Linked DNA regions of Solanum lycopersicum. The protein of the gene in region 1 interacts with the protein of each later gene in a pairwise test. Links are inferred from orthologs where the notes say so. Each region holds a gene or a part of one and is shown on either strand. Other genes may lie near its edges. The genes, in order: preprotein translocase subunit SCY1, chloroplastic; preprotein translocase subunit SECE1; inner membrane protein PPF-1, chloroplastic.

Region 1 (4,419 bases):
ATAACAGTTCAAGATTTCATGCACAAATCCAACTACTTCACAACCTCAAAATCATAAAAAGAATGTGTATGATCAACATACAAAAATAGAGAAATAAAAGTTGATATCCAACCATGACAAAACTTTGATGTCCCGAATAAGCATATCCTTCTATAGTTCAACTTAAAGAGTTTTCTTTCTAGTGAGCAAGTGTCTCAACACTCTAAGTGACTAGCTTTTAAAAAAAGGCCAAAGTTCAAAAGAAGAAAAAAAAAGAACTTCTGAGCACTACTTAAATCTTCCCATATGCAATGTTGTCAAAGGTACACTTAAGCCCTGAAGCGAGGCTCAAAACGTGTTGAGCACTTCACCTCGATTAATGTACATTTTAGTGTCATCAACAAAGCTCTAAGGCACACATTCCCTTGCCAATGAGCCTCTTTTAAAGAGGCGGGACCAAACAATTGATGTTTCACTTTATCGTAAAAAAATTCCAATCTCCTTTCATATATTTGCTATTCATGCTTATAATTAGTCTTGGACTAAGCATATATCCCTTTGAGCCTTTTCTCATTGAAGCTCACACTCTATTTGCATATCGCGCTTAAAGCCCCCATGGACCGTAGAGCTTTTTTACGCTGCCGATAAATCGCACCAATCTCCAGGGCTGAACTTTCTCTAGATTCCCTTTCCATAAGTCCTTTTATCTAGTTTCAAGATAAGGGCCCTTACTCTTACATTTCCTCCATTGTTCTCAAAAAAAGAATATACTCAATAAGTCAAAGATTTATTGAACTTCCTCCGCGGGAGAAAAAGAAATTATCCATCTCATGCTTTTAACCGGAAAAAAAACCTTCAGATTATAATTTAGCAATAGGACCATAGTAAAATTCTCCAAAACAAACAAGCATTCAGATTCAGTAATTCTTTTCAGAGAAAACACTCAACATGAAAGTAAAAAACACAATTCCGAAAAAGAAAAGGCAACACAAATGTCTTAAATTCCTCAAAATTAGAAGCTCTATACAAGAATCATCACAATAAACAGCATGGAAGGTCAAGGCTTGTTTGAGGAATCAATGAATTAAAAGTTATAAGTTTTAAACATGACTCATTACAACAAATAGGTGAGAAAGTTCAAGTCTTTATCTACATAACATATTTTCATCGAATTGAGCAAAAACCAAGGCATCTAAGAACAATGAGACTAAAAGGGTATATTCCATTTTCAACAAAGTATCTGTTTGTGGAGTGAAGAAAACCAATATGAATGTTCAAGACTTCTTTGAGGAATCAATGAATTAAAATTTAGAAGTTTCAAACATGACCCATTACAACAAACAGTAAGAAAGTTCAAGTGTTATTTTTTATAACCGTGGTGTCCGGGCTAGCTTGCGCGCACCTCGACTAATTCCACGGGATCCCACCGCCAATAAGCAATAGGTACAAGGTAACTTTGTCCAACAAAGACAAGAACCAATGGAAAGAAATCATCTAGTGTTTTTGTCTGTGTTGAACCTGAGACCTTATCATGGTCAACCAACTACATCGACCACTAGGCCACACCCTCGTAGGCATAAACTTCAAGTTTTTATCTTCTTCACAGCACATTTTTATCAAATTGAGCAAAACCCAACTCAAGTGAGAGCAAAGACACATTTTTATCAAGAAAGTACCTATCTTTGAAATAAAGAAGACCAAAATGGTACATTTTATTTTCAAGGAAGTACCAAAAACCATTACAACAAGCAGAATAAGAAAGTTCAAGTCTTTTCCATTCACAGCATATATTTTAATCAAATTGAGTAAAATCTGAACAAAGAAACCAAAAGGGTTCATTTTATTTTCAAGACAGCACCTACCTTGGATCAAACATAACCAGGATTAAACAAAAAAAAAAAAATTACAACAAACAGAGCAAAAAGCTCAAGTCTTTATATTCACAGCATATAGTTTTTATCAAATTGAGCAAAAAAACTGAACAAAAGGGTACATTTTATTTTCAAGAAATTACCTGTTTGTGGATTCAAAAAGACCAAGATTCCATGATGGGGCAGTGGATTTTTTATGGAAACTGAGGCTGCTGGCTTTACAAATTGGGGTGACTCTATTAACCTTTAAAGAGTGTAGCTGCTTGGAATTGAAGCACAGAGAAGAAGAAGAAATTTCTCTGACTGTTATCAACATTATCCTCTCACACAGACACACACTCTTCAATTTTTATCTTGAAATTTTATTTATGAATTACATTATTCTTGAACTAGAAAGAATATATACTTTAGCTCTTTCTATATATAAGTTCATTGATGATCACTTGGGTCCTTATAGTTTATAATTATTAGCTTTTAGGTTTCCTTAGTTTGAGAAAGTTATATTTTCCTCTTATTGATAATCAAATAGAAAATTTTTGAAGGTTTAAAACGTATCATTTGAAACTCAATGGATAATGAATTCGTCTTTTTATCCTTTTCATTTAAATAAATATCTTTATTTGATTTGAATTCATAATCTATACTTAATTCAAACATCATTTTATTTATTTGAATCATAATAAGTTTGGTGATTTATAGCCATTGTGATGTCATTTGAAAATTCATATTTTTTTCTTAGAATCTATTTTCTAATTGGTGAACTTTTATTGATTTTTATTTTATTATAACATCAAACACCAATAAATATTTCATGTTTCATTTGTCACGCCTTTTTTATTTGATATGAAATTTTTTAAAATTTATAAAAATATGTAAAATATATAAAAAATTATTTAATTTTGACCTTGAGCAGGTTCTTAAACCAAATTTCCCTTCCACAAATAAATAATAAAAGAAAAAAAAACAAGTTTATTATAACAGTAAAAAAGAACACTTCACCAAAAAACTAAAACCCTACTTCTCTTGTAGTCCTACCAAGTTCAGCTCAAAAAAAAAATGGAACTTGGAACTTCTTTCAGTGCTTCAGGTGTCAACAAGACAATGTATTTATCGAACCCCATTACCCAAAAATCCAACTTTCTTCAAAATTCTTGGCTAAATCAATTGAATTTTTCGTTTCCAGTAAGAAAAATCTGTTCTTGCAGAGGAATAGCTAAAGGGTCTACTATCAGCTCTTTGAAAACTCAAGAAAAGGTTAGATTTTTCTTAATGGGGTTCTTTTATATGAGATGAAGTTTCAATTTGTGGTGTTTTCTTTGGACAATTCTTCCTTTTTATTTGTTTGGTTTTTATGCTGAAGACTGTTTTTTTATGTGTTTGTGAATTAATTTTATCAGTTCCTATGTATTTAATGATGTGAGCTAACACCAATAGTATACTCTGTGTTGGAATGTTATGGCACAAGTGGGGTCGGAAGAGGATAGGATGTATGCACACCTTACCTCTACCTTTACTGGAAGAGGGAATGCTGTTTGAATCTTAAAGAATCCATATAACAGCAGAGTTGTTAGCAGTTTAGGAGTTCATAGGGGAATTATGTTTTAGATGCTTGCTTACTAGCTCTGTGGCTACTTAGTACTAATAGAAGAAAAATAGTTTTTTGGGAGCATTCTTGTATGCATATTTCCAGATGACAGGGTGCTGATTAACCTTCCATGTGTTGTTTGTGTCTTTTTTAACTATCTTTTGATAGAAAAAATCTTCCCATTGTGTGAGAGATTGGTAAGTTGCACATGGAAAATGGCTTTTTAGCTCTCGCATTTGCTCGTTTTCCCTAATTTTAAAAGCACTAGTTTGATTGGCGAGTTTTAAGCATGAGATATGTGCATCTAAGGGTGTAGTTTATTGGTCAATGAAGTAGGTGTAAACATTGGAGGTCAGGACTCAAATCCTAAAGAGATAAAGATATCCCTTTTAGTTGTATGTTTTCGTCCGGACTTACTTTAGTGGACTGTCTAACTTTAGTTCCTTGCAAACACATCTGCTAATTAGAACTGATCTTTATAACATCAGCAATTGCGCATCAATACCAATCAAGTTGCAGGCTGCTATATGGATCTTCATTGTACACAGTGTTCCATTTAAGCTTATCTATCTATTTTGAGGACTCAACATAACTTGACTAGTTTTATCCTGAATGTCAAGTTACCACAACTTTTCTCCTTTATCACGGCTACCATCTAGGTCAATTTGCTATATGGTATATGCATATTACATAAAGGTGCAATCTTGATGATAAACAGTTGGGTTTTCATTCTCCTTCTTTTAGGATTCTCTCCTCCTTTGCCACTGCTGGCACGATTCTTGTCAGCTTGTTGGGATGAGACAATTATTCAATAGAATTCATGAAAACCACCTTTCACAACAGCCATCACAGTTCTAAGCAGTAAAACAACAGGGAAAGAAGTACACAACTTCAACCCAAAATCACCAGAGTCCTCCTTCAACAGCAATGCAAGATATTTATCGTTTAAGAGAAAAAGTATACACCATAAAATAACGTATTGAG
Region 2 (2,683 bases), on another chromosome or scaffold:
GAATAACGCTACTATATTGATATGAATGAATGGAAATAGTCAAACACATGCCTCAAATTACCATCAAATTTATCCCATGAAAATAAGATAAAACGCTCGATTAACTACTAATATTTTACTTTAAAGAGGCATGTTATTACTTATTTAAGTTGGGAAATGGAGTTAGCATTATATTATGGTTTTGCTAACAAAATTATCATGCTTGAATAAGTTATACCGTAATTAATTATTTTAAAATTAATTACCATGCAATTATTATTCCACCCTTAACGTGGATAAAAAAAAAAATACTATGATTTCAAGATAACTAATCATCGAATTTTATCCCAATTAAATGTGAAAGCGGATTTTAAAATTAATTTTGAAATTAATTATTCCTTATCATAGGCCTAAAAACTCCAGTTTTTTCAGCTTTTCATATATTCCAGTATTCTCAATCCAAATTTGTAACAACAAAAGGGAAAAATTGTTTAAAATTATTTATAAAAAAAAAGGAAAAAAACACTGAAAAATAAATAAATTGAAAGAACCCTTATCTTCATAATTAACCAAAGAAATCTTGTACACCTTTTCCGGCGAAAACTCGATCGGAAAGTTCAGCCAAAACGGCATTAACAGTTAGCAAAACGACACTGGACCCAGCAATGACCCCAATTACAACCCCAGTAGTACTCAACACCTTACCAAAAGCTGGCCATTCAATTTCCCTTATCTCCTCCGCCACACCACTCCAAAAATCCGGCTCTTTCTGTTCTCTATCCTTCATCAGCTTCTTTATCTCCGACCCCACATCCGACAACACCTCATCCCCGCCGGCGCCTTGATCTCCGGCTTCTGTTTCAGTTTCCGGTAGTGGGTTTTGCTCGGTTTCCGATGAGGAGTTGTTTGAGTTCGATTCTTGAGCGGCTCTTCGGGTAGTGAAGGAATTGGGTTTTTTGGAAACTGAAGTGAAAATTTTGGGTGTTTTGAGATGGGGCAAAATGGGTGTGGGTTTGATTGAGAAAGTGGTGGTGCTGTGGCGGAGGAATTTCGAAGAGGAAGAAGGAAGTGGAAATGGGGATTGTGAGAAGGAAAGTGTATGCGCCATTGTTGCAGAGCTTTGAGTTTTGCTAATTAGTGAATGTTGAGAAAAAAATTCGTAAAGGATGAGTAATGAAAATGTTTTATTTTGTGTGTTATACAACTTACACTATTTGTGACACTTTTTTAAAAGTGGACAAGTAGGATCTTGGGTCTCACTTTATTTTCTTGCAAATTTTAAATTACACCTGTTTTTGATCGCGAATAAGAAAAAATGAGGGAGAAAAATCTTAATATATCAATTGATCGACGAAATCTTTTATCTTTCTTGATAGAGAGTTTGTATTCTGATTTCTAACATAAAAAAACTACATCCAATAGTGAGTATTTGTTATAATTTATTATAAATTGAGTAACTTTATGTTATTTATTGACTGACTTATTCTATAGCTTGAGAGGTTCAAGTTTTTTGAGTTTACATGTATAAATTAAGTGAAAGTACATCAACTAGCCAAGTGAAAAGAAAAATATGTTAGACATTAAAAGATGAAAAAGCATTATTTTGTAAGAATTTTTTTGCTTTCATTTCAAAGTTTAAACTTTAGATATCTAATTAAAGATAAACAAATCGTATTCATCCCATCGAAATATTTTAGCTTGCTCCTTTTTTTCCCTTGTCATCCTCCATTTTGAAGGATATATCTATAGACTTGGGCTTGTACACAAATGACAAATCTTCTCCAAATGATTATAGCTATGTGGGCCTTGGGTTGAGTTTGAAAACTAATAATATCAACAAATTGTAGGGGAACTCTTCAGCCATCTAGTTTATCAGCATGGTCGAAGTATACCTTATTATCAATACAATCTAGCTATATATTTATGTATATTTGGTATAAACTATACTATATATACACACTGTATACATGTTTTGTGAACTAGATACCCAAATGATATTTGCCTCTAATTTTATTTTCCTTTTTCAAACACTTCTTTTATTTGCTCAGTAATCTAAAAATATATATTAGAGAATCAAATACCATTTTAAAAATCTCTTTTGTGTAATCCAATCACAGATGAAGTCTTCAAGGATATCATTTTAATTTGTGAGAAAAATTTCTTGTGACTAGACGACTTCAACTAAACCTAATAGATCATATATTGACTTGGCCTACAGTATTTTTTTGTCACGAGTGCTTGGTTCTTTCAATGCTAATTGTTATAGTCAAAGAAAATATATATTATATTGGAGAGATATTCACAATATTACATCAAAGTTGGATCTAAGTCTATATATAACTCTCACGTACGGTTAAAAAGAGTATGATCTAGTTGTAAACGAAGTAGATGAAAATAAGCTGGTCTTAAATTTAAATTTCGACTGAGACAAAACACGAGATGATTTCTTTTCATCTGTCGTAATTTTGATAAGTAGAGTAACCTGATATTTGTTGCTGATGAGAGGTAACATATATTCAGTAAAATTAATTGAGGTGCACATACTCAGACAGCACGATTATCAATATATATACACACATATTTCTCTCGCTCAAGGAAAATCCACCTCTTTCACTACCGTTCCAAAATAATTATCAAACAACTTGGACTAAAATAAGCTAAGCTAATAAATGAGTGAATTCATAATCAACTCAAAGTTGAACAT
Region 3 (3,657 bases), on another chromosome or scaffold:
ATTAGAAACAACTTAACTGGAAAACTTCCTTTGCACTCTTAATGAAAACGATTTATAGCCACATAAATGTCTTAAGGTTTGTCTTAGACCACAAATTTCAAAAGTCTTCCTTTCTTAAACTCTGTGCCAAGTCAAATACTACCACATAAGTGCAACTTTTGACTTAGTTTACACAATGGTTGGAAAACCATAGATGATCATGAACACCAAACTAGTTTCTCAATGCCAGAGAACACTGCTCTATGAACTTAAATTTGCTTTTTAATGTATTTGTTCTCCTGTTTTAATTCAAATGATAAACAATAGCTTTAAGTTAGTCAACCTCTTCTTTCGTATGTATCCTAGCGATAGTCCTTTGAGGCTATGCGTTGTAAAAGAAAAAAGGGTTTGGCTTGTAAGAAGTAAGGGCTCCCAACTACTTAGAAACATGCAGTATGTTTTCAGGTGCAGTATCCTATGAGCTGTCTGGCGAATAGCTGCATTGAGGTGGTTATAAACGGCATTAAAAAAATCAACTTTATGCCCAAGGATTTAAGTATTATGCGAACACTACTATTCTAAAACACATGATGGTTTGAAATATACACTCAATTACTATGCCTTTTTAGTTGTGACAGAGAGTTAGTAGAGCTAAGGTATGCTGTTAAATATGCATTGACTTGAAGCTTAACTGCATTATTAATGGACAGGTTGTACCTCCACGAGGTTAATGAGCCCACTGCAATAGAAAAACTACAAATTGTTTGACATGTGCTAATTGTAGCATATCAACTAACTGCAATTTTCAATGCCAGTTATTAAGAGACCATGCCATAAATAACTATTTAGACACCATGCCATAAAATAATGAGTGCTGTGAGCTTCTGTAAGGTTTGGATTTGTCCCATCTCAAGTTTGGCTTCCATGTAATGAATGTAGTAAGTCCTTGCATTTCCATTGTGGTTTATCTTTTTCTTTTTTGTGGCTACACTATTGCAGGATGTTTCCCAACTTTGGCTACTATACCTGTTTGGATTGGTCTTTATCAAGCTCTCTCCAATGTGGCAAATGAGGTACTGTAGAAGTTAGTATTATTGTGTGTTCTTACTTATTAATTCAAACAACTAATGAGTTTATTTACCTTTTTTTCATTCTGATAAAGGGATTGCTGACTGAAGGTTTTTTTTGGATCCCTTCTTTGGGAGGCCCGACAACTATAGCTGCTCGACAGAGTGGATCTGGAGTTTCTTGGCTATTCCCATTTGTGGTCAGTGTCATATCCTAATTACACCTTTATACCATGTCTGAAACTTTATTTTGAGTAATTTTCCTAATCACAAAGAGGATGGAACGATTCCCGCTTTCATCTCACCAAATTGGTTTTCCTATAAATTCTTGGGACCATAAGATAATTCTGCTTGTAATACTAAGTACAGTTTAGTATGATTGCGGACATGAAATCTGTTGACATTTTCAGGATGGGCATCCGCCTTTGGGTTGGCATGACACGGTGGCTTACCTCATTTTGCCTGTCCTGCTTATTGTTTCACAATATGTTTCAATGGAGATAATGAAACCTCCCCAAGTATGATTCTGAATTAAAATTCCAGCTTATTTCCTTCTGATCTCAATTTGTGGGTGCTTCTGTCGTGTTATATTGAAATCCTTGATATCTTTTCTTAGACAGATGATCCGTCTCAAAAGAACACACTTCTGGTTTTCAAGTTCCTTCCGCTCATGATTGGCTATTTCTCTTTGTCTGTTCCATCAGGGTTAACAATTTACTGGTGAGCGCTTACTTAAAGTAATAATGTAATAGTGCCTCTGATACAGAATTAGAGTATTGGTCTTAAACAAATATGTTCCGATGAATATACTGATGTGAATTACTGAATTATCATTTTTATTAATGAAAACTATATTACTCTGCAGTTCAGTAAACTGGAATTTGCTATTCACTTGTTTCTAGTGACATTATCACTGAATAAGATGAGGGGATAAAGAAGTTTTGTTGCTGCCTTTATACACAGAGATATCCTTATACTGTCTTAGCGCTTTCAAACTTTCTGTTCGAGAGACATGTCAAAATAATTGCTCCATATCTCTTCTATTTGTTTTTCTTTTAAGCTCTCTCTCTCATCATTGAGGCAACAAATGACAAATTATCATGCTTCTGCATTTTATCTCTTTAACTCAAAAGTAGATTTTTGTTCTGGATATTATAATCAATGAAGCAAGTTGACTTTCTTAACATGTGCCTTTTATGTTGAATTTCAAGGTTCACAAATAATGTGCTGACCACAGCACAGCAGGTATGGTTGCGCAAGTTAGGTGGTGCAAAGCCTGCTGTGAGTGGAGATGCCGGTGGTATCATCAGTGCTGGACGTGCGAAGAGAACTACCTCTCAACCTGAACAATCTGGAGAGAGGTGTGTATAATATTTCAAAATTGATCAATTTACAATGTCTACCTAGCTAACAAAAGTTTATGGAAATAGATTCAGGCAGCTAAAGGAAGATGAAAAGAAGAAAAAGTCAACCAAGGCACTCCCTACAGATAAGGTTGAACTTTCTGCTTCTATATCTGATTCCGAGGACGAACAAGATGATGACACCAAGCCCAAGGTAAATGTCAAATGTTGTTTTGCATATGATCTCTGCTGACAAGTTCACCCGAGACATGTTTGCATGATTAAATTTAGTTGTTAGTCATTTGAATATCGGATGGCATGTCAAGGATAATAAAAGATGTGGATGGCTTCCAGCCTAACAAGGCATAGTGATTTATTGCATTACACAAGTTCTCTGTCTGAAAGTACTATTCTTCCTTTTTTAACTTAAAATGCAAGTCAGACTTCCATGTAATAAAGATGTGGATTTGTTCACCTAGGGTTGGTCATAGTACCTAGATGCACAACTATGCTATTGTTTGACCCATTAGGCCAGCCTTAGAAGAGAACATTTGTGTGACAGTGAAAAGAAACACTACCCTTCAAAGAGGAACAAAAAAAATCTGTCTCTAGTGTTCTGAATAATTTGAAAATTAATTTTGTAAATACTGAAAATTGAAAATTCAATTTTGAATCAATAATCTTGAGCAAAAACACATAGTGATTGGTTATGCGATCAAGCTGAAAGTTTGAAGGGCTTCACTCAGTGACTAGAGATAAATGCATACATAATTCTAAGCTCATGGATACCTAAGTAGCTCTGGAACATTTCAGAATGTTAATTGATTCAGTTTGATGAGGAGGGAAAGAATAATTTCTTAGTACCTCCAAGATGAGTTGTTTTATTTGGTGCTGCATGGCAGACTTTTAAATTTTCAATTGGAAGACACTGTTCTGAATATGAGCTTATACACTTGATAAATATTGGTTGCAGGATGAAGAAGTACTGGAAGAGGCTTATGCTTCTAGCAGTAGTAAAGAAGTTCCAAATTACTCAGGGCCAAGGAAGAGTAAGAGATCAAAAAGGAAGCGTGCTGTATAAAGTGGTAAATCAATCCTTTAGCTTGTATATTCAAATCTGTATTTTAGTTAGTGTATAGTGGCCATTTTCATGCCGGTCATCTATTTAATGGCTATCTGCCAAATGACGAGAACCTGATAAGTATGCAAAAGTGAATTCACGAGCTTTCAAGTTTAAGCACCAGCTTAGCAAGCAAAAGCTAAATTTA

The links.
Region 2: the proteins of preprotein translocase subunit SCY1, chloroplastic (region 1) and preprotein translocase subunit SECE1 interact in binary tests that used the Arabidopsis thaliana proteins (3 or more experiments, as listed by UniProt). The link is inferred for Solanum lycopersicum from reciprocal best matches to the Arabidopsis thaliana genes SCY1 and SECE1.
Region 3: the proteins of preprotein translocase subunit SCY1, chloroplastic (region 1) and inner membrane protein PPF-1, chloroplastic interact in binary tests that used the Arabidopsis thaliana proteins (3 or more experiments, as listed by UniProt). The link is inferred for Solanum lycopersicum from reciprocal best matches to the Arabidopsis thaliana genes SCY1 and ALB3.

Annotation. Positions count from the first base shown.
Region 1 is NC_090806.1:2,907,396-2,911,814, forward strand, and holds the start of preprotein translocase subunit SCY1, chloroplastic, read right to left. Parts: upstream 2,880-4,419; 5' UTR 2,167-2,879; coding exon 1,994-2,166; intron 1-1,993. Other genes in the region: uncharacterized protein, read left to right, coding at 2,907-3,104. UniProt on the Arabidopsis thaliana protein: Involved in protein export. Probably interacts with other proteins to allow the translocation of proteins across the chloroplast thylakoid membranes. Required for normal greening during embryogenesis. Central subunit of the protein translocation channel SecYE.
Region 2 is NC_090808.1:65,318,864-65,321,546, forward strand, and holds preprotein translocase subunit SECE1, read right to left. Parts: upstream 1,330-2,683; 5' UTR 1,088-1,329; coding exon 545-1,087; 3' UTR 513-544; downstream 1-512. UniProt on the Arabidopsis thaliana protein: Involved in the import/insertion pathway in the thylakoids. The signal recognition particle is not involved in the insertion of SECE1 in the thylakoid membrane.
Region 3 is NC_090810.1:57,210,034-57,213,690, forward strand, and holds part of inner membrane protein PPF-1, chloroplastic, read left to right. Parts: intron 1-978; coding exon 979-1,052; intron 1,053-1,141; coding exon 1,142-1,246; intron 1,247-1,456; coding exon 1,457-1,564; intron 1,565-1,662; coding exon 1,663-1,766; intron 1,767-1,911; exon of another isoform or gene 1,912-2,257; coding exon 2,258-2,407; intron 2,408-2,476; coding exon 2,477-2,603; intron 2,604-3,362; coding exon 3,363-3,470; 3' UTR 3,471-3,474; exon of another isoform or gene 3,475-3,657. UniProt on the Arabidopsis thaliana protein: Required for the insertion of some light harvesting chlorophyll-binding proteins (LHCP) into the chloroplast thylakoid membrane.